4 linked regions of the Notamacropus eugenii genome follow. The protein of the gene in region 1 purifies or fractionates together with the protein of each later gene. This does not show direct contact. Links are inferred from orthologs where the notes say so. Each region holds a gene or a part of one and is shown in the gene's direction. Other genes may lie near its edges. The genes, in order: RBBP4, CBX1, ARID4B and MTF2.

Evidence for each region.
Region 2: the proteins of RBBP4 (region 1) and CBX1 purify together in Homo sapiens (affinity purification with mass spectrometry; 3 studies listed by BioGRID and IntAct, with this or other methods). This does not show direct contact. The link is inferred for Notamacropus eugenii from reciprocal best matches to the Homo sapiens genes RBBP4 and CBX1.
Region 3: the proteins of RBBP4 (region 1) and ARID4B purify together in Homo sapiens (affinity purification with mass spectrometry; 5 studies listed by BioGRID and IntAct, with this or other methods). This does not show direct contact. The link is inferred for Notamacropus eugenii from reciprocal best matches to the Homo sapiens genes RBBP4 and ARID4B.
Region 4: the proteins of RBBP4 (region 1) and MTF2 purify together in Homo sapiens (affinity purification with mass spectrometry; 4 studies listed by BioGRID and IntAct, with this or other methods). This does not show direct contact. The link is inferred for Notamacropus eugenii from reciprocal best matches to the Homo sapiens genes RBBP4 and MTF2.

Annotation. Positions count from the first base shown.
Region 1 is NC_092876.1:77,230,976-77,237,824, reverse strand, and holds the start of RBBP4 (histone-binding protein RBBP4), read left to right. Parts: upstream 1-3,844; 5' UTR 3,845-3,902; coding exon 3,903-3,957; intron 3,958-4,157; exon of another isoform or gene 4,158-4,489; coding exon of another isoform or gene 4,490-4,505; intron 4,506-4,785; coding exon of another isoform or gene 4,786-4,972; exon of another isoform or gene 4,973-5,172; intron 5,173-5,774; coding exon 5,775-5,922; intron 5,923-6,849. Other genes in the region: ZBTB8OS (protein archease), read right to left, coding at 4,786-4,972. UniProt on the Homo sapiens protein: Core histone-binding subunit that may target chromatin assembly factors, chromatin remodeling factors and histone deacetylases to their histone substrates in a manner that is regulated by nucleosomal DNA.
Region 2 is NC_092873.1:353,053,706-353,061,039, forward strand, and holds the start of CBX1 (chromobox protein homolog 1), read left to right. Parts: upstream 1-4,329; 5' UTR 4,330-4,472; intron 4,473-4,553; 5' UTR 4,554-4,617; intron 4,618-4,990; exon of another isoform or gene 4,991-5,314; intron 5,315-6,552; exon of another isoform or gene 6,553-6,671; intron 6,672-7,334. UniProt on the Homo sapiens protein: Component of heterochromatin. Recognizes and binds histone H3 tails methylated at 'Lys-9', leading to epigenetic repression. Interaction with lamin B receptor (LBR) can contribute to the association of the heterochromatin with the inner nuclear membrane.
Region 3 is NC_092873.1:394,938,893-394,946,724, reverse strand, and holds the start of ARID4B (AT-rich interactive domain-containing protein 4B), read left to right. Parts: upstream 1-4,823; 5' UTR 4,824-5,259; intron 5,260-5,957; 5' UTR 5,958-6,009; coding exon 6,010-6,015; intron 6,016-7,832. UniProt on the Homo sapiens protein: Acts as a transcriptional repressor. May function in the assembly and/or enzymatic activity of the Sin3A corepressor complex or in mediating interactions between the complex and other regulatory complexes.
Region 4 is NC_092873.1:267,995,937-268,003,916, forward strand, and holds the start of MTF2 (metal-response element-binding transcription factor 2), read left to right. Parts: upstream 1-4,970; 5' UTR 4,971-5,411; coding exon 5,412-5,416; intron 5,417-7,980. UniProt on the Homo sapiens protein: Polycomb group (PcG) protein that specifically binds histone H3 trimethylated at 'Lys-36' (H3K36me3) and recruits the PRC2 complex, thus enhancing PRC2 H3K27me3 methylation activity.

The DNA of each region.
Region 1 (6,849 bases):
TGATATCATTAGATTTAACAAGTCAAACTTGTAACTAAACTAACTTGACAATTCCTAAAGGAAATAACAGGATCTCTGATTTCAAAGTGATCTGGAGAATATCTAAGAAATTGCTATTTCTTAAAAAGAAAAATATATCTAACCAAGTGGTTTCCGTTCATCATTAAACAACAAAAACACAGGAAAGTGTACCCGAGTTGACTTTCCCCCAATGAGGAAAATTAAGTTTTTACTAAAAATTAAATTATTAAATACTACTGTCTTCTGAGTACAATATCATTCAAGGAATTACAATATAACCATGGAAAACAAACGAAAAACTTTCTCTAAATTTTGCTTTTTCAGGCAGCTAGAATACTAGAGAATAAAAATTTCTCATGAGTAGAAACCAGATCTTATGTTTTATAAGCTTCATAAAAGCACTCAAAACCACATTTTATATGGTACTTATAGCATGCATACACATACACACACTGTATGGTATACTATACAATTTCTATTGTATCTAAAGAGTTCTGCTCACAGACAAAACACTCAAGTAGCAATGAAATAAATATTTTCATATATCTGTAACACAGCTTAATGGTTATAATTAGAGGAAGGGATAAGAATAATTTTTGCTACTATTTTCATAATACTAGGGAAGACAGCATAGTGTGACTGAAAGAACACAAGACTAGTAATTAAAAGACTTCATTTCTAGTCTCAGTTCTGCCACTTAACTACCTGTATAAATTTGGTTGCTATTTAACTCTTTTGTGGTTCAGTTTCTTTATCTTTAAAAATGAGAATAATACCTTCTCCATTTCACTGGGCTGTTCTGAGGTTCAAGTCCGTAACACCCTTCACATCTATTCCTCCTTTCCATTCTCACTGTCATCAGCTAGTTCCTCTTACTTTATCTTTTAGAAACCTCAAAGTGTTATAAAGTAATATACATTATACTATATCTACATTACATAATATATAATATCTGGCATATGTAAATGTGATTTATAATCACTATCCAGATTATTATAGTAACTTAATCTTCCTGCCTCTGATATTACCCTCCTTCTAAATTATCCTACCATTAATTCACTGCTAGACTGCTTTTGAAAAATGATATTTTAAGAAAACTATTCAATGGTTCCTTATTGTCCATAGGATAAAATACAAATTTTTTAAGGAGTCAATAAATATTATTGATGAAATGAAATAATGAATGAGTAATATTTATGAGTAATTAATAGTTCTTTACACTACAACTTACTTTGAACCAAAAACAGCACCTCAAACAGAAACTAGGATTTTTAAGGCATCCTAAAATAAATGAGGACCAAGGTGGATAATCATTCCACTTAAGAATAAGGAGCGCTCTAATGAGAAGACGAGGAGACAAAATAGGGCCAGAGCACCTCCTAGATCCTTCATTTAAGGAGGGTAGCCATCTCGTTATTCCCCCCCACACACACTCCTGATTTCATGATCTCCAGAAGCTCATCCTTCTGAAAGAAGATACCAAATCAACTCTGAAACTCACACCTCTTCTATACCCCTTTTCCCTGGGGCCCCTACCTTCCTCTAATTGAGATGGTGGAGGGTGGACTTTGGAGATCTCCTACCAGATCCTCCATTAAGTCATCTCATTATTTTCCACTAGGCTTCAGGACTGGATTATTCATTAGATTGTAAGTACCTAGAGTGTGGAAACTGTCTTTGGCCTTTCTTTGTAACCTCAGTGCTTAGGAGAGTGCCTAGCACATATAAATGTTTACTGATTGGCTGACAGAGACCCAGCTAAAGTTAAAGAAATAACAGAGATGTTCATCTATATACAATCATGCTGGAAAAGACAAGACACTGGACAACACTCCCCTCATTCTTCTTCCATACACATTAGGTTGTATATAGTTATTGGACTATTTAGTAGTGCAGTGGATAGAGCACTGGGCTTAGGATCTGGAAGATTCATTTTCATGAGTTCAAATAAGGCCTCAAACACTTACTAGCTGTGTGACCCTGGGCAAGTCATTTAACCCTGTTTGTCTCAGTTCCTCATCTATAAAATAAGCTGAAGAAGGAAATGGCAAACCACTCCATTATGTTTGCCAAGAAAACCCCAAATGGGGTCACGAAGAGTTGGACACAGCTACATAACAACCACAACTGGACTTTTATGCCCTCTCCTCAGCAAGACTGCCCTAGAGGTTTACTTTAACCAGATTTCACCCATTTAAAAATATTGGGAGAAAGGAAACTCACAGAATGTGACTTGCACTAGGTTGAATAGTACATGAACTGTATTTCACACTTTCCATCCAAACTCCTTTACCTGGCTTTCAAGACTCTTCCCTACCTATTTCCTATCACTCCCCCAAAAGGGATCAACCATTTGTTTCCACACTTATTGCACAGATATGCCCTCCTCATCTCCTTACTCTCAATCATATGCTGTCTCTCTTCTCCTCTTGCCTACTCAAAAGCTATCCAGCCTAGTGTATATTCCACCAATTCCAAGCCAACTTCCCTAACTCATCTTCCCTTATCTCCCTCTTTGCTGAACTCCTGTAGCAACCTACAATTTTAATGCTCAATTAACATATTATTATAATGCTCTCTAATTCTTCCATGCATACTAGTTCTGGATTCCCAACTAGACCATAAATTCTTTAAGGGAAAAATACCTAGTATAATCCTTTGTATAGAGTGGCCACTAAAATATTTATGAACTCATTTTTTTATCCACTACAAAGGACCCTAAATACTTATTGCCTGCCTTTAAATTTACTCAGCAGCTTCTCCTACTTTACTATAGTAGTGTGAACCAATGGAAAGAACATCCCACTTGGAGTTATAAGACCTGAGTTCAAATTCCAAACTCTGCTGAGTTTCTAATACCAGTTTGACCTTAGGCAAGTCACTTAACCTCTCTGGAACCATGTTCTCATCTGTAAAATGAAAGCCTAGACCAATGACCTTTGAGATCCCTTCTAATTGTAAATCTATAATCCCGTGACTCTTACCCCAAAACCCTAAGAACTTTAAACGCATATAGCGCACACATTTATATTTAACATACTCCGTAACACATGGCCAATATAGACCCATATTTTGCATGCCTTCATCCACATAATGGGCATCACACAGCTTGCCTTCTCAATGGGTGGGAGGATTCTGTGAAATGAGACTGGACTAAATGCCCTCCGACTCTAAATCTGCGATCCTGTGATCTAGTCTTTTACAGAAAAGGACGCTGCGGCTCAGACCCGGGAGGGACGCGAGCAGGAAACCGGCCAGGGGCCCTGTGGAGTGTGTGCCCTGGGCATCTTCTCGGTGGGACTCTGGGCTCTCCATCTCAGGCTACACCTCTGCAAAATGGGGCGCGGTAAGACGAGGGAGCCCAAGGTCCATTAGTGGCGCGGGGCAAGGACTGCCACTGCGGCCGTCTCACGCCTCGAGAGCGCCCCTTCTCCACCCTAGGTAGAAGGCCGCCCCAAATCTGAGAGGAAGAGCACTCACATTCGTATTTCCGGGTGGCCGGGGGGTACTTGGCCTTGATCGCCTTTTGCGCTTCATTCAGGTTGTAGTCCCTCACGTCTTCCCCTTCCTGAGCCATGACTTACTCCGCCAAGGCTCCGCTTCCGCCCTTCGCCGGCGCAGCTTCCGCCCGGAGTCCCCGCCCCGCGACGCGTGCCCTTAAAGGGCCAGGCCTCAGTTTTAGCCATCCTCCGCTACGGTCGCTGACCCTAGGCCTTATCACGTAGTGGGAGGAGCTGACAGGGAGACAGTCGGGGGCTAAATTGGCTCCCCCCTCCCCCCCAGCCCTTACACTACTGTAGGTCTAGGTGACGGTGCGTTCGCCCCCGAGGAAAGAAGCTGGGCTACCCTCCGTAAAGGGTCCCAAGTTCCCTCTCGCCTCAATGGAGGGGGGTCCTGGGACTCTCCCGTCGAAGGAGGTCAAAGCCAGAACCTCGGGTGAGCCTTAATGGAGCCTGACTTTGGAAAATGGCCGCCTCCCAGGGGAGCTTCGAGCCTTCCCCCGTTTTCCAGCTTTCCCCTCCCCCTCCCGCCCCGCTCACGTGACCACCAACCGTTTTCCCGGGCGGCTGGGCTGCGCGCGCTCGCTAATCTCGGCAACCCGACCGCGCGGGGAGAGGAGGAGGCGGTGCCAAACCTTGGGGGGAGGGGTAGACCTCGAGGCCGAGGCCGGCTCGCGGTGGCGACGCGCCTTCCAATTGGCCACCGCCGTGGCGCCCTCCTCCCCTTTCGCCCCCCTCCTTTCGCCTGAGCCTGTTCCGATTGGCCGCCGTTGGCGCGAAGGTGCGCGACTCGGGCCACACGCAGGGGCGGCAGGAAACAATAGAGGCCGCGCGCTCTGAGCGAGCGCCGTCGAGCCCTCCCCACCCCCACCCCTTCACCCTCACCCCCCCCCCCTTCGCGGTGCTGCGACCCCGGGAGTCCCCGGCCCCTGCGCCCGTCATTCAGTCCGTCAGCTTCTTCGCCCACCATGGCCGACAAGGAAGGTGAGGAGAGCAGGGGGAGGGAAGGGGGCCGAGCGCGGAGGAGGGGGCCTTCCCGGCCGCCCGAATAGGCCCTCCCAGACCGCGAAGGGAGGGATGTGAGAGGAGCCCTCCCCACCCGCGGCCTCCCGCTCTTCCCGGTGTCCCGGGACTGCGATCCTCCCGCAGGCCTCTCCGCCTGGTCTACGTGTCCGTCCCCAGGAAGGAGGCCCCCTGGGGCTGGGGGGAGGGGTGCGCGGCGGCGAGCTCTGCCAAGTTGGGGATTCCATCCCCCGCTTCTTACATCTGGGGAAACTGAGGCCGCACGAGGGCGCGGGACTTGCCCAAGTTCGCGGGGTAGCGAGTAGCCAAGGCGGAATCGGAACCCAAGTCCTGCCGACCGACGGCGCTGCTACGCCGGCTGAGTGACCTTGGACAGGTGGCTTCACTTGGAGAGCTGGAGGATGAGACTTGGGGGCTTTCTCCAGCATCCGTGCCCGCCTCCTGAACAATCCGCCTGAAGCCCGGGTGTGATGGCGAGTTTGGGCTTGCCCGTGCCCCCAGCGGGCTCCCCAGTGGGCACGGGATGGAGGACGAAACCCTCGCGGACGCTGAAGTCCCTCGTGGTCCAGCCCGGCCTTTGCGGACGCTGTCCCCGGTGGAGCCTCGCCGACCCCTCCGCTCGGCCCCGAGCTCGGCCCCGGCTCCTGCCTGGAGCGCTCCCCCCCGCTGGGCGTCCCGGAGTTCTGGACTTCGCAGGGCTCCTCGCGCGTCCTGTCTCCCGGGGGAAGCTTGGAAGAACTCCAGTAAAGTGGACCTTGACGTGCTCGCCCTCGCTCTTAGCACTCTTTCTGACTGGAGAATCCCATTCCTTATCTATTTGTGTTACATCCGCTCACCCTCCGGGAATGTTTCTGAAGGATGGGTATTTTTTTTAACCTTTGCACCTTTAGTGCGTTCTTTGTATTAAGCACGCAGTAAGATTTGTCACCTTCGACTGGCTCGGTCCCATTTTTTTCTTGTTAGCCCCTGTTTACTCATTTGAAAAAGGAAGGGGCTGAATTCAATCTCCAAAAAGCTTTTTCCAGCCATTAAACCTATGAAATGAGCCCTGAAGTTCTTTACAGTCCCACACAAATGGGAAAGGGGGAAGATTTGGAGGATTAACACCTTGTACAAGGGGCTGGATACTCCTGTCCCTCACAAGCTGCCTGAGGAAAGAAATGTGTGCCATGTTTCATTTTTCAAAGTACTCACATCTGGAGGTTAACTCCGTTTATTTTATTTTTTTAGCAGCCTTTGATGATGCTGTAGAAGAACGAGTGATCAACGAGGAGTATAAAATATGGAAAAAAAATACTCCTTTTCTCTATGACTTAGTGATGACCCATGCCCTAGAGTGGCCCAGCCTGACTGCACAGTGGCTTCCAGATGTAACCAGGTGATCTGAATATCTTAATGGTTAAAAGCACTAGGAGTGGCATCAAAATAATAATAGTGAGCTCTTATATAGATCTTTATTGTCTACAAGGAACTTTACAAATATCTCATTAAAACACCACAACAACCCTGGGAGGTAGGTGCTGTTATTATCCTTGTTTTACAGATGAGGAAGCTGAGGCAGAAATTAAGTGACTTGCCTGGAGTTACAAAACTAGTAAATGTCCCATGCCGGATTTGAATGGTGTCTTCCTGACTCCAGGTCCAGTAGTCCATCTACTGTACCATCTAGCTATCCTAGATCTGAGGATCTACTCTAGGATTGGAATCAAATTTATTTTTTCCACAGTTAAGGACCCTACCATTCAATGCATGGGGACTGTGTCCATTGTCCTCCCTGTCTCTTCCCTCCAATAATTTAGGGAGGTGGTAGTGCTTTACATTTGTCATTTTCATTTGAGTTTGACAGCAGCCCAGTGGTAAACTCTTATCCTCCTTTCACAGATGAGGAAACTAGGGCTAAGTGAAATTAAGTATAAGTGTCTGAGACCATATTCTGAGACCAGTACTCTGCCTAGCTATATCTAAATTGGTTGATAGCTATTTGTGTATGTGTTTTGTTATTCCTGTGCCTGAAAAGATAGAGACAAAATAGTTTGAGTAATTTCACATAAATAATCACTACTGTGAAGAATTTGCTAATCTAGAAGAAAAACTGACTTTCTTTTTTGGTGAGCTGAGTAATCATGTGAAGGTTTAGCAAACTGAAATACAGTGTAATCCTAAGAATGATGAATTTGGAGGAAGAAGACCCTAGATAGATTCTTGGCTTTACCATTTACCACTTGTGGGACCCTGGGCAAACACTTAGCTTTAGTTAATAGTTTTCTCATCTGTAAAATGAGGGGTTGGTCTTGGAACATTTCCA
Region 2 (7,334 bases), on another chromosome or scaffold:
CATGTAAGTATGACAGGTTGGTGTGGAGAGGGAGACATGAGTCAGATAATGAATTTTCTGAGAAAAGAGGGAGAATGATTGGAATGACTGTAGATAATAACCATTAGACAAGGTGATCTGTCCAGATGCAGTGAAGCTCTAAGGATGAAATGTGGCTGAGTAACATGGAGGAGGAAGTAGGGGTGGGGGAGGTATAGAACTGTCGATGAGGAGCATGAAGCACGTTGACTCCAACTGACACTTAGGGAAGTATTGCTCCAGAGACAGTTCTAAAGGTGAGTTATAAACTCCCCCTGGATTCTGAGTGGAAAGGGAGGAAGGGTCTACAGAAATCTGTCTAAAAGTTCACTGCTTCCGGTAGGGAAGTGCCATCAGCACAGTGCATAAATGACAAAGATAAAATTGCCTGCTTTTCTGTCTTAGTTCAGTATGTGGGTGATGAGACAGGAGATGAGGGAAGGTGACCAGGGATGTAGTGCCTTCTGGGGAGAGTCACGGTTTGCATAACTTTGAGGAAATGAAAGAAGCATGAAAGGAAGAGGTATAAAACAAAGGAACAGCTTTACAATAGAAAGGCAGTTCCAGAAGGTATGATGAAAGTGAAAAGGGAAAGAGAGTAGAATCAGGGTTGACAGAAACTGAGGATGAAGTAAAGGGGAGTGGTGACCATAGAATACACAGAATTCTTTCCAGAAAGCACTTGGCACGTGGGCACTAAATAAATACTTGTTGATTTGGAACTCTGCCCCCAGATTTATGAAACCATGCATATCCTTTCTGCCAGCAATACTACTATTACACCTAGATCTCAGAAAAGATCATAGAAAGAGCAAAAGAATGTTATATGTAAAAATATTATCAGCAGCTTTTTTGTGTGTTAACAAAGAACTGGAAATTTATGGGTACCCATCATTAAATTCAACAATAAATTAAATGGGGAGTAGATAAACAAATTATGGTATAGGAATGTAATGGTCCATAACTCTAACATTCCTCTTTTCTTCTTCTTTCATCCTTACCAATCCTATTCTCTGTCCCCACTGACACTTCTTATGCTAGAAGAAATGATGAAGAAGGTAGCTTCGGAGAAATTGGAGAAGACTTATATGAATAGATGGAGTCAGGTGAGCAGAACCAGAAGAGCGTATACAATGACCACACAGTTAAGACAAACAACTTTGAAATACTTAAGAACTCTGAGCAATATAAGGACCAATCATACTTCCTGAGGCACAATGATGAATCATGTCACCCACCATCTGACAGAGAGGGGATACACTCAGATGCAGAATAAGATAAATATTTTGGGACATGGTTAATTGCCCGGGGTCTACTCCTGGGCCTTCGCCTCTCCACTTACCGATCCCCGGTCTTCGGACGTCTCCGGCCCCTCTCCCGGTTGGGGGAGGGCAATAAACAGGCAGAGCACCCGAAAGGAGTTGCAGTCAGCAAGCTTTATTGCATTTCTTCCCCTTCTCCTTCTCCTTCTAAGCCCTTGTGATCATCCCCTTTTATTATCCCTGTCTCCTCCCCCGTACCTCCCATGGGCGGGCGAGCTCCTCCCAAGTGCCTCCCCGCGGGTGGAGTCAGCCTGTTACCAGGGCCATCCCAGTACCCCACAAGGGGGCAGGTTTGGACCCTCAGGCGTCTCACGGTCCTCACAGGGGACCCTGGTCCAGAGCTGTCCCCCAACAGTTAATGTAAGAATTTGTTTCGCGTATTTGTTACAAGGATTTTGTCTTTTTTTTTTCCATTAGGGTGGAGATGAAAGTGAGAAAAAAATGAATTCTTGTCAATTGTAATTTTAAAAAATTTTGTAATGATTATGGATTGATTTATCACAAACCTTCCCTCCAGTCATCCTGCCAAAAAACCCCACCACTCCTTCTCTTGATCCTGCTGCCCCTCTTCCTGTCATATAAGCAGGGAGCTTACCATGTAAGCTAGGCAGCCTGGACTCTCAATTATGGAGATTCTGAGTAAAGTTATAGGATATGTCTACTACTACTGGAAAGGGTGTTTCAGTGGTGTGGCTGATTTGATTATGATTCCTAGAGCAAAAAGTACAGCAAGAGCACATGATAAGACACATATGCTGCTGTGACCCTGGTGTTCTGGTCCAGGGCTGGAGGCAGGATAGTTGGATAAGATGAGGCTTGGCTGGTTATAGAGGGTGGAGATGAAGGATGATTTACTTACGCTCCATTCAACCCTTAGGTGCACATCTGTTCTAAAGGTGAGTTGATAAACTCCCCCTGGATGTGGGACAAAGGAAGGGTCTGACTGAAAGGTCACTGCTTCTGCCATATCAGCACAGATCATAAAAGAAAAGGATAGAATTGCCCATTTTCCTGACTTGGTTCAATATTTTTGCCAAGAAACCATGTTGTCTCTCACATGAATGAGTGAAGGAACGGGAGATGTTTATAAGGGGGAAAGAGATGACTTGGGGGTGGAGAAGAAGGAAGTCTATGATTTGGTGTTTCTGTTCAAGCATAGGCTTGGATGACAAGCTGTCAGGTATCTTATGGAAGAGATTTCTAAAGGGGGGGGGAAATTGGATTCGATGATTTACAAGTTTTCTTCCAACTCTAAAAGCCTATTATCTGACTAACAGAAGATGACAACAGGATAATAGATCCTAGGGGCAAAGCAGGATCAAAAGGAAGGGGTTCTTTTAAGGTTTTTTTAGCGGGGAGAGGAGGTTGAGGGGAAGAGTAAGTTGAATATCTATGCATACTTGTTGATAGTAGGAAATGAGCAAAATGAAAAGATTGAAGATTTGAGAAGAATTGATTAATTAACAAGCACTTACTAAGCACCTGTATGTGCCTTGCACTATACTAAATACTGAGGATGCAAAGACAAAAATGAAATCCTTGCTCTCACAAAGCTTATGGGGAGACATTTATATTTGTGTATGTAATATACATATATACAAAATAATTACAAGGTAGTTTGGGAAGGGAGTATATTAGCTGATGCAGAAATCAGGGAAGGCTTCATATAGAAGGTGGAACTTGAGTTAAATCTTAAAGAAAACCAGGGATTCTGAAAGAAGCCAGTGAATTCCTTGCCACCGGAACAGTCAGAGCAAAGTCAGGAGAAGGAACTTTATGGGTAAGTCAGAAAACAAGTCTGGATAAATCTCAGACTGAAAGCAACGTATAAGAAGGAGTAATTGAGAGATCAATATCTTAGACAAGGTGGGGATGGGGGAAGAGATAGGGATCAAGAGTACAGGTTAGCCTTGGAAGGGGGAAGAAAATGAAGAAAGGCTAGTGGAAAACATATACTTGTGAGGGACAGAAGAAAAAAAAAAAAGATGAGCTGTGATGCTCCATGGGCTTTAAGTTCCATGATTTATCAGTCAAAAATGTTATCCAGTAACATTTAATGCACCTTTCTCAACCTGCCTAGACTGCAGAGCTGTAAATCCTAATTGACTTCAGGCGCGGAACCCTATTCCCGCTACAAATTCCAGCCTATTTTAATTCAAACCTACTACACATTACCACCTGGCACTCCTTTTGAATTCTACACCCACCAAACTGGACTTCTTTGTTCTTCATCAGGGACATTTTATCTTCGCCGGGTTCTCCCCCCCTTTTCCCAGGAATGAATTCCCTTTTCAACTCTGAGACTCAAAGAATTTCTAGTTTTATTCAAAGGAAACTGAAACTCAGTTGCAGCTCAACCCTCACCTCCTATTTGAGGCTATTCCCGATCCCATCCAGCGCTAGTACCTTGAGCCCTAAATATGGTTACTTAATTACCTTTTTCGTTACTTTGTATACATTTTTGACAACGAGGAAGCGGTGTTGGTAAGTGGGGAGCGAGTTGGTCTCAGTCAGTTTAAATTCTACTTCAGAACCCCGAGGTAAGTTGCTTAATCTCCCAACATTCCAGGCAAACCGTTTAGATTTATATCTTAATAAATATGCCTCTTACTTTACAATAGTATAATATGTCTTAATTTGTAATAAGTACTGTAATTATTTATTACAGTAATCTTAATATAGAAATTACAGAGAACTGCCAAGACGTTTGAATTCACAAGACTGGTTCAAAGGCATATGTGAATGTGTTTCTACGTCTAGATCGTCGCGAGCAAAGGGACAGTTGCACTTGTCTCTCGGTATCCCTAGCAACCTGCCCGGTCTCTAGACGCTTAATAAATGCTTGTTGCTAGATGAGTTGATTACACGTGCCACAATCCAATCAGACAGTACTAGTCCCTGGAGCCGCTACCCAGAGCTTGGAGCTTCGTTGGGTGACGTCACCACGTTCCTTCCCTCGCAGTACCCTGGGGCTTGTAGTCTGGGAGGGACTTCAAGTTCCACACTGCCCCGCGTTGGGTCGCGGCGCCTGCGCGTTGCGCGCGGCGGGCAGAGCTGAGTACGGGGCTCTTTTGTTCCGCGGAGCTGGGACGATTGGCTGGGCCCGGGGGAGCTTCGCTTAGCCTATCTTAGGTGAGGAGGGGCACCAGGCTCTAGCCGCGGCCGCCGCTCTTTCTGGCTTAGACAGCTCATCCTCCTTCTCGCTGTCCCCAGCCTCCTGCGACGCGCTAGCGGCGCGACACCGATTCCCCCCGGGTTGAGTCGACGCTGCTCTGAGGTAAGGAGGGAGGGGTGTGTGTGTTTGTGTGTCTGAGAGTGTGTATATGAGAGGATGTGTCTGGTGACACTGGGAAACCGAGGAGGGGGGCCCGGGGGGTGGGGAGGGCTCTCGGCCGATGGGAGTAGGGCCGTTAGGAACCCGGCGCGCGGGAGGCAACCCCCACCCCCTCCCCCACTACTCCCCCAGTCCTCGGTCCCTTCCCGCGCGCAGACCCCGGGAGGGGGCGGGGCTCGTGGAGCGCGCGCGGCGCAGGAATCCCGAGTCGGAAACGGCCGGTGTGGTGGGTTGGACCCCGCGCGTGCTGGGGGCGCTTCGCTGGTCCTAGTTTCTGGGGTCCTTGGTTAAGGGGCCCCCTGGCGAGAAGGAATGTGGCCCCGGGGCTGTGGGGGAGGAGGGGCGGAGCTTTAGCTACTTTAGCCGGTATTGTTATTACCCGCTACTCTGTAAAGGAAAGGGGGTGGGGCATAGGTGGCATTGAACGCCCTTCTTCTGCCCCGGTGGGGAGGAACTTGATTTTTTGTAGCTGATGCATGTTGATGCTTTTAAGAAAAAGACTTGAGGTTTGAATAACGTCCAGGAATTGAGGTCCCATCTCCAACTGTAGATTATCTCCAGCTGATGCAGTCTGTAGTGTGTACATGGTTTGCAGGTTGTCCACTACACGTGAACTCCAGGAGAGCTTTTCTTGTGCCTGGTAAGGGGAAGGCGCTTCATAATTGCTTGTTGACTCGACAGATAAGTGGTTGTGTATTCGTGTTGTCCCCCACTGTGAGCTCCTTGATGGTAGAGATTTACCCTTCCTCTTTCTTTTGTGTCCCCGGAGCGTATAGCGCAGTGCCTGGCTTCACTTAATAAATTCTTATGGACGAAGCGTTAAGGCAAAAAGTTTGAGAACCCGAAGTTCTCTTGCTTGATGTACTTCATGCTAGCAACTAGCAACGAAATTTTGAAATAAAATTCCACCCATGTTACATTAGAAGAATCATTTCCAAGGCAAATGCAATAGGAAAGTGAAATGAACTTTTCATTACGACGTTGCCCCTTTCCCCCATTCCAAGATATTTTCCACAGAAGATTGTAGCGGAGATCTTGTGCTCAAGTTTTTCGTCAGACTTCAGGGTGAGGAAGACTTGGAGTTGTTGAATCCCACCTTTAGATGTTAGCTGATTGATCCTGGGCAAGTCCCACAACCTTTTTTCAGTCTCAGTTTCCTGGTCTATACAGTTGTATTCGATGGCCTCTAAAGTCTCTTCCAGCCCTAAATCTGTGATCTTTGGGAAGTCCCTTCTGCTTTCCCTGGATCCCTGGATGGTGGCCTTGCTTTCCATCGATCTTTGGTGGGAAAGCCTAAGTATTGGTTTACCTGATAGTCCAAAACATGAATGGAGCCATACCCTGGGGCTTTGAGGCCTTGAATTGTATTCCTCTGTTCAGCCTTTTGTCTGACAAATTTGGGCCCTGAATGGCTGCTGGTGACGTTAAGGTTTTGTAACTACCTTCTTTGGAAAGAATTGCCCTGGTAGATAAAGTGTGTAGAAGAGGATGCCTTTTCTTTATGCCCTTTTTGTAAATTTAGGTGGTTCTTGGGAGCCAAACCTGGGAAATCTTTGAGAACCACTTTACACCTCTTTTAACCCTACCCTGAAGACTAAATTCTAGTTCTGTTAGGTTTGTATGCACATATTAGCAGGAGGCATCCTGTCTGTGCCTTTGCTGGGGCTGTTTCCTATGCCTGGAATGCAGTTTCTCCTCACCTGAGCCTCTTCGAATTCCTAGCTTCCTTCCAAGCTCAGCTCAGCATCACCTATTACAAGAGGCCTTTCCTACTTTTTTTGCCTTTGCTAACCTGTAGTATGTTCTGCCCTCCTATATCTTAAGTATATTTTGCATTTATTTATATGTGTATATGTTGTTTCTCCTGTGGGATGTAAGCTTCGTGACTGCAGGGGGCCTAACAAATGCATGTTGATGGATGAAGCTACCTAAGGGCAATGATTTCTGCCCTTTATTTTCACTGTTGCCTCCAAATGAAGAGTCATCTCTGCAGTTAGGTGAGTGTCTGAAAAGTCTGAAAGTGAGTAGAAGCATGTGATAGATACTGTGATCCTCCCTAGAAGCCTTCCAGACATTTATATGGAAGTTAAAGGAAGCCTCTGGTTTTGTTTTTTTCCTATAATGACATTTTTGTTCCCAATAGCTTATATATTCCGAATTGTTTTTCTTTAAAAGTGAGTAGAGGATATGGAGGATAGTGCTATAGCCTATGCCAGGTTCTTGATAAGAAAAGATGTGCCTACTCTTTTCTTCCTCTGTCTTTGTACCTGTGGTTAGATACCTGAATTTTTCTAACCCCTTCTGGACAAACGATATTGAAATATACCAGAAAGGAATTTTCTAAATGAGAGAACTTAAGTACACCTTTAAAAGAGGATTGCTATATAATGTCATTTTCAGAACAGTAGGTGCAGTTTCGTTCACTAGTTAAAAGCATTTGTTAACACTTACTACATTCTAGGCATTGTGCCAGGTGTTGGGGGTACAAAGAAAAACAAAAAAGTCCCTGACCTATCCTACCATACAGTCTTTGGAGATGAGGGCTCTAGTAGCTAGGGAATCAGGAAAGGCCATATATAGAACAGGACTCTTCAGGCTGAGCTTTGAAGGAAGGTAGGACTTCTGAGAGGAAGAGGTGAGATAGAAATAGATTGTGATAG
Region 3 (7,832 bases), on another chromosome or scaffold:
GAACTCCAGTAATATTTTTTTACTTTACTCTTATTTGTTCTAAGTACACTGGTTAAAATGTGGCCCAGTTGTTTCTGAAACCAGAGCAACTTGTGCAAGGCTAATTAAGCTGTTCAAATTTTGTCAAATGCCTCATGCAATCTACACATGATGTGCCTATATCTTCCTGATTTATCAGTCTTATAATTTTATCAGAAAAGGATCCAGAATCATAGAATGGAAATTGGAAGGGACCCTAGAGGCCATCTAGTCCAACTCTTTCACTTTACATATGAAGAAACTAAGGCTCCGGAGGTTAAGTGACTTGCCCAGAATCACAGAGGAAACATTAGAGATAACATTTGAATCCAGGTCCATTGACTCCAGAGTTGGCGCCCTTGTCATGGCATCACACTGCTAGAAAGATTTTTCTGGGTGTACTTTTGTTTGTTAGTTTCTTAGATCATCTATTTCATGAATTTTCTATTCAGTAACTGATTTAGAACTTGATGAAATTTGCTTCTTCCTATCTAATGTAGGTTAAAACACCAAGATTGTTAAGGTCACCTAAATTAGGAGTAAACAGACTATAAGTGTAATGTATAAAGACTGGGGCATGGTCTTTTGTGAAATTTATTTTGGATGCTTAAAGCTTTGTTTTCTGATTCTCAGCAGAACTGTAGAGAAGTTGCTGCTAAATGGAGTCTAATAGTACCAGGTATTTGAATCTTTGATAACTTTTCTTAGTTTTTTTGTTTAAAAAAAAAAAAAGTTCCCTTTTCTCAACCCTCTTACTCACAGTACTGTTCTTCCTCAGTCTCCCTTGTGGTTCTAGTGACCTTCACTGAACAGATAGGATAATCATCTCAGACTCTGATCTCATTCTCTATAGGCTCTTGCATACAAAGAAAGAGTTCTTATACCTCAGGATTTCCACCCCTTAATACCATGGTATTAAGCCAACAATGTAATAAGCTTTGAGAATCTAGCCTGCTTGAGGTGTTACACACAAAAGAAAGCAGTCTTACATTTCATAATTATTTGCAGTTTAAGAAAAAGACAAAACAAAACTTTTTCAGGTCCTTACTACTAATATTTGACATTTGACCATTTATATAAATATGCAGATTCCTATAATATATGTTAATGCTTTGATTTTATGGGCATAGATGACAAATACATGACTCTAGTAGGCTTTACGATGACAAATGGTAATGAATTTCAAAATGAAATGCTCACCCTTATATAAGGAAATAAAAGAAATGGACCAAGCTACTATGATCATACGCTAATTACCTCTTGCAGCAGCAGGCCCAAATGATCAGTTGGGCAAAAATGCAATAGCTTCTAAGCTACAATATACTACTTTCCACATGATTAATCCTAATATAATTTGTTTCAAAACTCTATATTGCATAGACTCACAGCATCTTGTATAACACAGTTGTTTACCTACACAAAGCAGATAATTTTTCACCTGCCATGACAAGATTACAGAGTAAATTCCCTAAATTGCCCCACATCTGGCAGAATACTATTATGAATATGTCTGGAAAAAGGGATACAAGAAAAATGTGATATATAAGATTTTTAAAAGCTCTATCTCTATCTTAAACCAGTTTTATATATTTATTACACAGAGATGTAATTGAACTTTTGCAAAGTATCTTTGGAAATAATAATGACACTAATGTGACACTAATGTAATAATCTGTGATCTGTCCTGAGATGGTACATTACATTTCAAATTGAAGGTCTACCATGATCACATCATTTAAATAAATTTTTTAAAATCATGGAAAATAAAACTACCTTCATAAAGACTGGGCATGAAGCAGTTCTACAATTGTCTCTTGGGATAGTTTTGTCCTGTAAATTAGAACATAAGATGCCAGACAGCAAGGACCAATTGTATGTTTCACAATATCGAGCACGATACTGGGCCCATGGTAGGCTTTCAATAAAAACTAATTGATACTATTAATTAGCCATGACTTTGAACAAGGCATTTCACCTCTGTGGACCCCTTTTTCCTTATCTGTAGAAATGAGGAGGTTGAAAGAGATGGTTTCCAGGATATCTTTTAGTCTTAACATTCTATGATTCCACTTTCTCTGTCTAGCAGAATGTTTATCACTGTGTCTTTTCTAGGAAGGAAGATACAGGAATAATAGTGGGGGAATAAGAAAAGCTGTTTTGTCCTTGACTAACACACACACACACATTTTAAAATTTAGAAAGTGTTTTACATACATTTTCTTTTTTTTCCTTTGGAATGTAGGTGTCATTTATTGAAGGTAGATTACACAATCTGTTCTCTCCCTCCCTCCACAACACAACACGCAGATTTTCTCATTTGATCCTTGACAGCCCTGTGAGAGAGGTATATACTAAAGGCATAATTATTCCTATTTTATAAATGAAGGAACTGAGATTTAGAGTGGTTAAGTGATTTGCTCATGGGCAGACAGGTAATGAGTACGAGGGGTCCTTCCCTATCTCCTTATTGTTTTGCTTTAGAAGACAGAATATGTTATCTACTGTGGAATATGTCCTAACCTGATTCATCTATAAAATCTTAATTTTTTGCAGCAGATATACATCCTCAACCTTTTAAATTTAGGTATCAAGCTCCTTAGTTCAATTAAGTTCATTTGTGGTACATGACACCCAATGTTACAGGAGAACGAAAAACTACAAATGTCTCCCTGGAACAGGCATATAACTACGTTATTCCTCGTTCTTCCGATTGGAAAAACAGCCTGGGGCTTGCAATCAAAAAAGACAATGAGGATCGTTAACCTGAAAACTTGGTTAAAGGAAAGACATCAGACTAAAGGCATGCGTTATTTTTTAATTAATTGATTCCCTCTTAAAGATAACAGTCATAGCGCTATGGAGTCATTTGTGACTCTGACTACTTAGTACAGAAATCATCTGTCTTAAGTACATTTTGCCGTGAGAAAGAAACTCTCCTAATTAAGCAAATCATAAATTCAGTAAGACAGGACAATTAACAAAGCAATGTCAGTTGGGCCTTGAGATTCCAGGCTGTGTAAACATATAGTCTCGGTGACAAGGAAGGAAATCCCACCACCAGTGAGTGACAGGCTTCCTGCCCTAAACAGATAACTGACATAGGAAAGGGTAAACAAAGTTCAATAGAAATTACGATCTAAGATGTTTATATTTTCTTTACCACTAATATGCCATAACAAACATAGTATATGTCTATAGATAATAAGATATAGTGTCTTAGGTTAAAGGTCTCCTAAGGAATGTAGACTCAGCCTTGGCTGGCTTTTGCTGACATAGGAAGAGGCATTCTCTGAGTTTGCTTCAGAGAGAACAAAGAGATTATTCAAAAATTTTATATTAAACATTATCAGGATCAATGCGAATGATCTATCAAGCATCAAATGATTCCTGATTTTTTTTTTTTTTGCAAAATATAAAGAAGGTCAAAATAAAAATTTTTGCCAAGTGAGTGCATGTGTGAAGCCGGATGCTTTCTCTGGATTCGGAAGAGCTAGAACTCAACACCAAAACCTTAGGATTATGAGTCTGAGGAAATCTTAGATTTAAAGCAGGAAGGAACTTCCTACTCTGAGGGTTAATTCTTAGAGGGGGTGGGAGAAGGGCGAGGAAGTTTGTGAACTTGTAAAAATTTATTTTAGTAAGTGCATTTCAATGATTAGTTTACTTTGTAACCCTATGGATTTTGTGAATTAAGAAATAATGCTGTGAAAGGGTCCACAGGCTTCGCCAGACTGCCAGAGGGGTCCAGGGCACAAAATCCGATGGAGAACCCTAGTTCTGAGGCCCTCAACTTAAAAGAAGAAATTGGAGGTCTAGAGAGAATTGGTGTCCCCCTTGTGCCCACAGCACCACCGCCTGAATTCACACCCGGGTCCTCTGACTCCAAATCTGGCTCTTAAAAAAACGCACCAGGAAGTCCCCAGGAAATTGACAAGGCGCAGGCAACCAGACGTTAGCCACAAGCCAAGGACTATTAATTGTATCTAAGCCAGCCCCTCCTCCGCCGAGATCACCGCGTCCGACTCCCTCTTCATACGGAGCTCGCACTCCCGCCTCCATCCTCCCTCCCTCCCCCCCTGCCCTCCAAGAAAAAAAACACACACACATACACACAGCAACCCGCTTCAGCATCCGGGTCCTTGTCCTTCTTTCTTTTCTCTCCCCGCCCCCTCTGGTCTCTCACCATTCGGGTTCCCCCGCCGCCTCCACCTCCACTCCCGGTAGAACGGTAATAATGCTGTTTCACACCGCCGATCCCGAAGCAGCACTACCGTGCCTCAACTTCCTCCTTTATAGTTCACTTTGAGGCTCCTCCCGCCACCAACACGAATCCCTCCCACTGCTTCACTTCGGCACTCTCCGCCCTTTTCAGCCGCCAGCGACGCCGCATTACTCGGTGCGAGAAAATGCGCCATCCCCGTCCCACTGCGCAGGCGTCGCGACCGCCTCCCTAGCGATAACTAGCTCTGGGCCTCCTCCGCCCTCCACTCCACTCCTATTTCCCGCACGCCGAAGCGGAGCATTAGGGGTTTTGCAGTCTTTGGCGGTGGGAGGCTGAAGCTTTGGCCCCTGGGGATGGACTACAACTCCCAGCAAGCTATGCAGCGTAACTTTCTGTTTCCATAGAACTGGTGGAAAATGGCGTCGGTGTTTGTATCCCGGGGACCAATAACGAAAGGGTGGGGGCGGGTTCTAAAGATGACCAGCCAATCCCAGAGCTCCTAACGGGCAGACTAAGGAAGGAGGGCAGCTAGGGGCGGGAGGGAAAACGAGGGGAGGGAACAAGGGGAGGGGAAGGGGGATCGGGGGAGGGAGGGGGAGTGATGTTTGCCCGTCAGTCGAGTCCGGAGTGAGCTGCTCAGACACCGGATCGGAGTGGAGACCCTGAGCCGCTGCCGCCGTCACGGCCACTGTCTGGACCAGTGCCCGGACGGAGCCGCAAAGGGTCCATCGCTGTCTTTCTTTGGAGGGGGGCCCGATTTGGGGCCCGGACCCAGAGTCCGGGAGGGATTTTCTTCGTTCTTTGCTCCCTCCCCCCCAGCGAGGGAGCCAGAGCGGCCGCCAAACAAAGGTACCAGCCACCGCCGCGGGAGGAGGAGGAGGAGCCGCGGCCACCGCCGGACCCGTGGTCTCCCCTTCCCCCATCTCGCCCCCCGGGCCCGCTCCCCGTCGCCGGCTTCGGGGTGGAGCAGGGGAAGGGGACTCGGGACGTGACGGGCTTCAGCCTCAGCACCCAGCCAGGTAGGGGCATTTTCTTGGCGGGGCAATGCGGCGGCCAGAGGGGACACGGTTCCGGGGCGGTCGTGGGTCCCCGTATCTCCCCCCCACTCCGCCCTCCCTCCCCAGCCAGGAGGAGAGTGGTCGCCACCCCCGCGGCGAGCGCCCGAGCGCTGGGCCCTGCCCGCCCGCCTGGCCTTCGCCGCCGCGGACTCCGAGGCTCGTCGTGCCTCGGCCAAGTGGGAAGAAGGAAGGGGCGACGGGCCTCGGAAGCCCTGGGCAGGGACCCCGCCGTGGGCGCTGGTGCTGCCAGCCCCGCGGGGTCCCCGGGCTGGGCAGCCAGTTGTGGGGGCGCCGGCCTGACGGCCCCGCTGGGCTGCAGGCCGGCCAGCCCGAGCTCGGGGCGGGGAAGGATCCGGGGCCGGACTCCGGGGTTTGTTGTGACTTTCTCCTCTGACAGAAATGGCGTCATTGCCGGAGACGGGGAAACTCCACCGGGTCCGACAATGGGGAAGCGGCCCGGCCCGGGGGCGGCGGGGGGATGCCGGAGGGAGAGTCGGCCCCGCCGAGGGCGAGAGCCGGGCTCGGAGGGACCTTCCTTCCGGGAGGCGGCGGAGCGAGGGAGACTTGCGGCGGGGGGTTCTGAGCCATTTCCTCGTCCCCCACCCCGCGGAGAACGGGGTTCCTGGGGTGGTGATTCGGTGTCTTTTGTTTCACCTCAGGTGCAGGTGAATTCTGTGTCTGCGAGAAGACGGCGGCTGCCGAATCACCACCATGAAGGTAAGAAAGGGTTTCATGCGAGAAGCCTCCGGGCAGGGGGTGGGGCGGTGAGGGGGAGCCGGCCGTGTCGAGGTCCTTCGGGGGCGCGCAGAGTCCTGCAGAGCTCGGGGAGGGGATGGGGTCCGAGCTGGTGCATGTACGCCGGGCCTGGCCGCGGAGCTGGGGCTCTTCGGTGGGGAGAGGAGCTTAAGAGGAGCCTTCTTGCCGGGGAGAGAGATAAGAACGGTCTCCCTGACAAGTCTGAAAGCCCGTCAAGTTACCTCCCTCATCTGGAAACTGGACATGGTGAGGGTTCTCAGTCAGTAGAGACAAAGCGAAATTCTATTTTACGTGTGGGTTTTTAAACAGGTAATTTTTACTCTGCTGAAGAACTGTTCTTTGAATTCTGGTTTGAAAACTGCCGTGTGACTTGTATTTATTTCCAGGGACACAGTGCTTTGTGTATGACTGTATGGGATCCGTTCCTCTGCACTGATCCCTTTTGGGTTAAACGTTTTCAGTCGATTCATGCTTTTAGGAAAACTTTTCCCTGTGCTCAAGCCAGAAACCTGGAAAGCTGATAATCAGTTTTCCAAGTGGTGAGGATAGAAATCATAAAGGACAGTGCATAAAATGCAGGATTTTTTTTTTAACCTTTTGGGTTTGCTTATTTGGTTGAACATATTGTAGGCATAAATGTCTCTGTTAGTTTACATTTTCAGCTCAGCTAGGTATTGAATATTGACATTTTCACTTAATACACACTAGAAAGAAAAGAGAATTAGAATTTTGAATCATTTAGATTCAACTAGTGGTACCAAGCCAAGCAGACATTTTTCTTTTCTGTAAAAATTTGCTATGCTTGAAAAAGGTGGGTGTGTTCGTAATTGGTTATAGTAATAATGCTGCAAACTGTAGTAGGTTAAAATTTAAATGCTAGCTACTTTAGACAGTTCATTGAACAGTCTCTATATTTTGGTTCTATTTAAAATCAAGGCAATTTAAAAAATACTGTATCAGAATTAAAGCTTGTATTGCATAAGTTTATGGAAGGAAGTAAAATGCTGTAACCTTTTGAAATTCTGAGTACTGCATAGCCTATCCAGTTTTTGCTAGTTTCTTGGGTTTGTACTTTATGCATGTATATGAAAAGGTTTTTCATTCTTCCTCTCATTTTCTATATGTATAGTTCAGTTAAAGAGTATATAAAACTAAATGTGTCTGTGAGACCTGAAAACAAACAAGCATGATTATAATAATGACAATGGGGAATGTGTGTGAGACTACCAGAAGTGAATTCATTAAGAAAACCACAGTTCTGCCACAATTTTCATAAATTTCTTGGGAAAATATTGGGCTGAAAAATACATTAAGTTTAAAAATGGAGCAATATTTAACAGATAATTATGAAAGTTTTTAACAGTTATAACTTAAAGATTTTCTGTTTAACTCATTCTTTAAAGAAATAAATTTAGGCTTTTAAACAGTTTTATGTGTCAGAACAAAATCAAATTACACTTGGATATTTGTAATTGCATTTAAAATTGTTAGTTTTTGCTTAAATGGTACCAATGTTAAAATGCTTGATAGTTTAAAATGAACTAATTTTACATGCTACTATTTTTGGCATCATAATTCAGCCCTTCGGTTAAGAAGAACAATGTTGGTCAATGACATTGTACTTTTTTCACGTATAGACCTTAGCTTTTTGTGTGCAACCTAATTTTATGTGGTAAGTTAAGTTCTTTAGATATTATTATTTTGCTTGTAATTAAGGCCAGTGTCAAAATTGTTGTATTTTTATGTATCTGTGGCCCCAATTTCTATGATGATTTAGT
Region 4 (7,980 bases), on another chromosome or scaffold:
ATATGTCACTTATTTTTGCTGATTGCCTCTGCATTTAGAATATGAGGTCATTGAGGGCAGGAACCAGGTTTTTACCTTTCTTTGTATCACCAGCATTTTGCATAGTGGCTAGCAAAACCCGCCTAGTGCACAAGCGTTCCTATTCCACGATGCCTCCTCTTGTTTAAAGGCACAGAGAGAGAGGATGGAATGCTGGAGTCAGACAATAACAGTAGGCGGGAGTAGTTTAACTGGAATATGGAGTGTATATAAAGGTGAATGATACACAATAAGTCTAGAAAAATAGGCTAGAGTCAAATGATGGCAGGTTTCAGATTTCAAGCTCAGGTGTTTGTCTTCTGCACATGCATTTTTAAAATCTAAGGCATTTCGTGAATTTCTTATGCATCTTTACCAACTTCTGACAACGTCCTTTTCCCTCCTTGTTGACAGTTTCTTCCTTTATTCTCACTCTCTTCTTAACCTTCTACATTCTGGCTTTGAACTTTGTCAACTACTCTTTTCAAAGTTAACAATGATCTTTTAACTGCCAAATCTAATGGCCTTTTTTCAATCCTCATCATTTTTTACCTATCTCCAATCTTTGATACCATCAATCACCTTCTCCTTTATACCCTCGTCTCTAGTGATGTGTGTGTGTGTGTGTGTGTGTGTGATACTATTCTCTCCTGGTTCTCCCACTTGTTATTTTTTGTTTGCTGTATCTTCATTTAGATCATGTCCTCTAACTACTGGGGTTCCCAAAGGCTCTGTCCTGAACCTTCTTCTCTTCTCATTTCATTTGGTAACCTTATTGGCTCACATGGTTTCATTTATCAATCATCTTTATGCAGATGACTGATCTACTTGTCCAAGACCTAATCTTTCATGATTTCTGGTTTTATAATAATTTATTGGACATTTTGAAGTGGACATCCCACAGACATATCACATTCATCATAACCAAAACTAAGCTCATTATCTTCCCACTCCCCCTCCCCCTTCCCCTTTTCTGTTCCTAAATTTCTCACTACTTTCAAAGGTACCACCATCTGCCTAGTCACCATAGTTGCAACCTATCATCCTTAACTCTTCATTCTTTCCTTCTTTCTCATCTCTCCATATCCCATCTATTGCCAATTTCTAATGATTCTACATTTGTAATATATATCATATATGTTTCCTTCCTTCCCCTGACACTACTACCAGTCCAGTCCAGGTCCTTATCACTTCACACCTGGACTATTGCTGTTATAGCCTGCTGGTTGGTCTCCTTGGTCTCTGCACTGTTACAATCTATTCTCCACCCAGCTTTCAAATTGATCTTCCTAAAGCAAAAGTCTGACAAGTGGCTCCCTATTACCTCCAGGATTAATAATAAAATCCTGTGGGCTTGAAAGCCTTTCATAACTTGACTCCTTCCTAGCATTCCAGTCTTCTTATGCCTTACCCTGCCCTTCATGTACTTTATGATTCACTGACATTGGCCTCCTTGTTCTTTGTAGAGGATGCTTCATCTTTGGACTCCAGACTACTAGCTGTACTAGTACTAGACAGTACTAGCTGTCTCTCATGTTTGGAATGCTCTCCCTCCTCATCGCAGTCTCCTTAAAATCCCATCTAAAATCCTAACCTCCACAGGAAATCTTTCCCAATTTCTGTTTTAATGCTAGTAACTTTCCTCTGTAATTATCTCCAGGTTGTCTTGTATATATCTTGTTTGTACATAGTTGTTTATATGTTGTCTCCTCTGTTTGACCTGGAGTTTCTTGAGGACAGAGATTGTTTCTTGCCTTTCTTGGTATCCTAGTGCTTGTTCCAGGTACCTATCACATAGTAAACGCCTAATAAATGTTTGTTGACTGACTGAGTTGACTTCCCTGGACTTGGAGTCATGAAGACCTATCCTATCTCCAACACGTTGGTCATGGCCCATTCTGATCCCCAATTTCCTCATTTGGAAAATGAAGTTGACATCTATAGTGCCTACCAAACAGGGCTGTTGTGAAGTGTAAATGAGATAACGTCTAGGAAGGAATGCTTTGCAAATCTTAAAGCATTATTTCAGTTACTGCTATGACTACAGCACTCCCTTGCCCTGAAATGCTTCAGTGGCTCCCATTACTGACAAGATAAAATACCAACTACGCCTAAAATTATAGGCTCTCTACAATGTACATTCTTAGACTTATTTCAAACTAGTCCCCTTCATATGCTCCAGTCAAACTAAAATAGTAACTGTTGCCTGATTTAATTTTCTCTTGCCTTTTACTAAATATATCATCCCTAAAACCTGGAATAAATCCCTTCCCCATTTACCCTGTTTTTTTTTCAAGATCCAGATGAAATGCCTCTTGAATGCTCCTTCCCTGATTCCTTCCTCCCTCCTACAGTAATCTCTTCTTTTTCAAATTTTTGACTTTACTGCTTGAGCTCTTCTATTCACTTAATCTAAGTTGTATTCTAGTTATTTGTGTATTCTAGTTTTGTGTAAATATCTTACTCCATTGCCACTTAATCATATGCTCATTGAAAGCAGGCACTAAACACTTAATAAAATTTTGTTGAATTGGAATCACTTTCCATTACTCATTCTTTGGGGCTTCTGTTGGCAATTGGTCTAGATAGACCATGAGTCTGACCCAGAATCTGTAACTCTTCTCTTACCAAATGAAATTCGTCATCTTTCCCTTTAAACTAAATCTCTTCTAAAATTCCTTATTTCTGCCAAAACACAACTATTCTTTCTTCTAATCATTCAGGGTCACCACAAGTCTGATCATATCACATCCCTATTTAGAAATCGTCCATGGCTCCCTATTGCCTCTAAGGATTAAATCAAAACTCCTGAGCTTCGCATTATAATCTGGTTCCAATCCATCGTTTCAGACTCATCGTACATCAGTCCCTTTCCAGCCAAATTGGCCTTGCTCTTCCCTGAATTTAGCAATACAAACACAGAATTGTGTTTTTGTGAAAGTTATTTCCTACACTTGGCATTCATTCACTCATCTCCACCTCTTAGGATCTCTCAAGACTTGCTCTATGTGCCACCTCCGATGGAAAACTTACCCTTATCTCCTCTCTCTCTCTCTCTCTCTCTCTCTCTCTCTCTCTCTCTCTCTCTCTCTCTCTCTCTCTCTCTCTCTCTCTCTCTCTCCCTCTTCCCTTTCCTTCCCTTCTATTCAAAATGACTATCTATACACATACATAGCAGTTTACATGTTGTATCCCCACTGTGGAATGTAAACTCCTTCGTTGACAGGACAATTTCCCCTTTGCTTTGTCTCCCTGTCACCTGGTAGTGCTTTGAACAGGTTTTGTTTTTCATTTTTTGCCAGATCAGCAATTTCAATGATTTTTTTGCCAGAGCAGTCATTTCAATGATTTAGGGAATTCAAATGAAGAAACTCCCTCTACCACCGAAAATCAGCAACTAACAGTTCTCAAAACTTTGTGTCTAAGAGTTGCCTAGAGTCAAGCATTGAAAGGTTGTGACTGTCCAAGGTCCACACAGCTAGTCTATGTCAGTGGAGGAACCTCAACCGAGGTCTTCCTGTTCTCTAAGTCTCTCTCTCTCTCTATATGTATATATATGTATATATATAATATATATTTAAAAGGTTTCTTAACTTTTGTTGCATTGGATTAGATTCCCCGAAGGAGTCGCTTTTTGTTATTCTAAGATGAATCATGGTATGTAGTGTTGAGGTTTTAAACCTGGGGTCTGTGAACTTAAAAAACAGTTTTGATAATTATTTCAATATAATTATTTTCGTTTGCAATTCCGTGTCTTATTTTATATATTTAAAAAATTTTTTCTGAAAGGGGGTTCATAGGCTTCACAGATTGTAAATGGGATCCATCACACACGCACAGACAAGGTTAAGAACCTCTGAAACAATGGAAATACTCAATTTAAAAGTCAGGTTTTAGTTTTGCCGCTAAGAAGCTACATGACCTAAGGCAAATCACTTCAACTTTGGGAGTCAGTTTTTTTCATCTGTTAAATGGGGACACTACCTCAAAAGGTCTTAATGGATTGCAAAAAGAGAAACTGTGGATTAGAGAGTTAAGCATATCATTTCATCCCCGAACCGGTTTCTTTCTTTTCAAGGGGGTCACTTGAACTAATTTCCTCGAAGGGTCAGTGTAGTCTACCTTGGGTTTAAAGGACACAAAACCGGGGGGAGAGGGGGGGGAGGGGTTAAAGTCGCGGTTCACGCATAATCTCCGAACGTGCTCCTTTCTCTTGGGAGGTGGGGTCACCGCACTTCTTCTTTTGAAGAATTAACAAGAGGAAATGTTCACGAATTCGGTTTGTAACTGGCCATTGTTATGTAAAAAGGGAGGTGGGCGCGAGGGCACTTTGAAGTAGGAAGAGAGGGCGGCATCCAAGAATTCATTACCTCATTTAGGCTGAATGCCCACTAAGCGCCCACCTCAGGGAACAAAGAGACCCCCAAAACGAAGTAGCTACCCTCAAGGAGCTTACCTAATTGTAAGAAGGAATTTAAAAAAAAAGCAACCTCTAAGTTCGCCCGGTGAAGGGATTCTTCAGCCCCGCGGACCTGCTCTGTAAAATGCGTGGGGCGGAGCTGCGATGGCCAGTCTGCGGCCTCAGAGTGTAAAGCGTAAAAAATCTGACACTTTTCCAAGAAGACACCGGGCTTTAGAGATCAAAGGCTGACTGACCACGAGCAGGCCCGGGGTTAAGAGCAAAGGCGCCGACGAGGGGGCCCGTCTTTTGTAAAACAGCGAGCGTTTGCCTCGAGTCACGCGGCCGGGGCTGCAGGAAGCGGAGGCCGCGGACGCCGTTCCGAAACGGCAGCAACAAGAAAGGACGCTCGGTCGGCGAGACCGGAGCCCGGCGCCATCCTGCAGCGACAGCTCCCGGAGCGCCGGCCAACGCGCAGCGCGAGCTCCCCCGGCTGCGCTATTGTGCTAGTGCCGGCGGCGGAAGGATCCCATGCCCGTCGACCGAGGAATTAAAAGAGTCCCTCTTTGTTCACTCAAGGCCGGAGCCGAAGGGCACCGCGTCCTTCCGCGTCCGCCTCTCAGACTCCGCCCCCCCGCGGCTCTGGAGAGCTGCCATTCGGCGCAAGCAGTCTTTCGCGCTCCCACAATGCACCGCCACTCCGCGGGAAACCAAAATGGCGAAGGGCCGTAGCGAAGCGGGGTTGTGTTGGAGGCGGGTGTGAGCACCCCCCTCCACCCCCGTCCCCCTCAGCCTTCCTCTCAAACCTCCATCGTCAGCACCTCGGCGTGTGTGTGCAGCCCGGTGTGGCGCGGGCCTGGCGAGGGCGCAGAGTCTGAGGGGGAGGAAACGCCCAGGGGGACGTAATTTTGTTTTATATTTTATTTTTTCATTTTTTATTTTTATTTTTATTTTTTTTCCTGTATGAAGCGGTTGGCACCACTGAAGTGACCGAATGAGGTGAGAAACCTTGGACTGGGACCCGGCGCTTCCGGGGCACGGAGGACCAGGAGAGGGGGGAGGGGAGGGCTGGATAAAGGGGGAAAGATGGACGCGGGGTGGGGGGAGCTGGTGCTTAGGGTTGGAGGAGTGTGAAAAGGGTGGGTGGGAAGGAGCTGGGTGCGAGGGGGGATCGGGAGGAAACCATGGCGAGGCGGGGGGTCGGCTTAGGGTCGAGCGACTGAAGGCAGGAAGGAACCTGGGGGCGTGAGACGGTTGGAGGGGCAGGATGAGCCCTGGTGACGAGGAGGCGGGGGGAGGCTGGGGGGAGGCTGGGGGGAAGCGTAATTTGCCACCCCAGATGGGGGTGCTGTGGGGCAACAGGAACCGGACAGGAAGGCACCCAGGGGAGTGCAGAAAGTGAGGAGAGACAAGAGGAACGAGAAAGAATCGGGGTGTTGGAGGTGGGGGAGGGCAGGCAGTAAAGACTAAGGGGGATGGGAAAAAGCAGCTAGGTCTCAGAGGAACCGGGCCGGGGCTGGGGACACACGACTAAGTGGAAAAAGGATGGAACTTGTGGAGTTTCCGTGATTTGATTTCCTTAAAACTCGGTTCTCCATACATTCTTGGTAGGGAGAAATTGTGCATAACTGCCCAGATGGGGTTCGGGGGTTCGGGTTGTTTTTTTTGTTTACAACTGAGGATGTCAGGGATTTAAAGAATTTGAGTCATAAACCCCCAAATCCTTAAATAAATCATTGGCAGAACCAGGCAAGGAAACAGGTCTCTTGGTGTCCAGTCTAGTGTTCTTGATCAAGAAATTTGGCTTTTGCTGTGGAAGTGGGCATTCTGGAATATTGTGGGTAATTAGAAGAATGAGGGGGAAACAATGGGAAGGACGCATACGTGTGGGGATGAGAAATTTTGCTTTGGTTACTGCATTTAGAGATCATCTGACTAAATAGAGGTATTCTTCTGCATTGAACAGTAGAGCACAAAATGTGAGGTCAGTACATAGCTAGAAACATGTAAATATTGTCTAATATTACTCTACTCCACATCTTTTAGTGGTAGCAGAAGCTTTTTCCCTTTAGATTAAATCCATGTGACCCTCTTGTTTAGCTTGTTTACAGACAGGTTTTAATTTTCATGTTTTTATCACTAGCTCCGAATACTGTGCTTAGCGGACTGCAAAAAAAAGTACATTTAAAATATCTATTTTGGTTTCAATAAAATGCACCCTATGTATTGTGTACTTTTTTTTAAAGGTTCTTTAAAGGGAACCATTTTGAATGACAGCTTTAAGAACCTTGTAGTTGTGGACAGAAAACAGTTTTACATTTCAGAATGTAAAATATTCTCTTCTTTGTTTGAGACTTGGAACATTGTTTGCTTTGTACTTGCAATGACAGCTTGAAAAACAGTGCAAGATAAAAATTTCAGAACCTTTAAGTAAAAATGTTTGAAGTTAAATTTAATGATTCCTTTGCCTTCAGAAGATTTTTTCCAAAATACTAAAAACTACCTAAAATACTTCATTTCGTTATTCTCCTGCTTCTTGACTTGTGTACATAAAGGCTTTTAATATTAAAGGAAATTAGTAATATAAACTTGTTCTAATCCCCCTTCTTATGCATACTTGACTGTATGACTCTGGACAGGTCACTTAACCTCTCAATGACCCTAGAAACTTTATTAAGATACTAACTTGCAAAACGGTGGCAGATGTTTTCGGTAGAGGAAGCCTATTGGAAGGAAGTACCTGTAAAGTCACAGATCTAGATACTTCTCCTTCCCACCCAACATATCTTCAACCATATCTGTATAGATCCAGGTCTAAAATTGTAGAGCTGTTGGGGACCTTAGATGCACCATCTAGTTCAGCTCCCTTATTTTACAGATTTGGGTAACTGAATAACCTTAACAGCTTTCATAAGTTATATCAGAAACCACATAGTCTCTACCCCTCCTCCAAAGATTGCTGTACATATTTTTATTCCCTCATGGTGTCTTGTAGATAATGTACCCCACCAAATATTTGTGGACTGAGAGGACTGCCTTTATTAGTATTAGGACAGGGTTTCACAGATAACAATTTCATTTGGTTTGACCATACAACTTTTATTTGAGATAGAGAGGGAACAGATAGTGATAACCCAATTTAACAGAGAAATTGAAATTTTGAGAAATTGGTTTTGTCACAGTCTCTAGCTAGCTAATGGTGATGCTGGGAATAGGACCTTCTGAAAACTATAACTATCTTTGTTTCACTAATCTAGAATACCGCCTCCCAAAGTAATATGTTTATTGATTTCCTTTTACTTGTTTTTATGATAGATAATTTATTGAAATAGAATACAATATAAAAATTACTGGAATGTACTATTGAAGAAAGATACTGCTCTGTGGATTTGATACATATAGAAAAGTTAAATTCATTTAATGTTTTTTAATTAGACATTTTCTATCCTTCCTATACTTTGTGCATTCTGTCATATTTATGAAGATTAACAGTAAACTATCAGGGTAGCCATTTCTGGACCAGTAGAAAACTACTTACAAGATCTGCTTCAAGTTTGATTTTT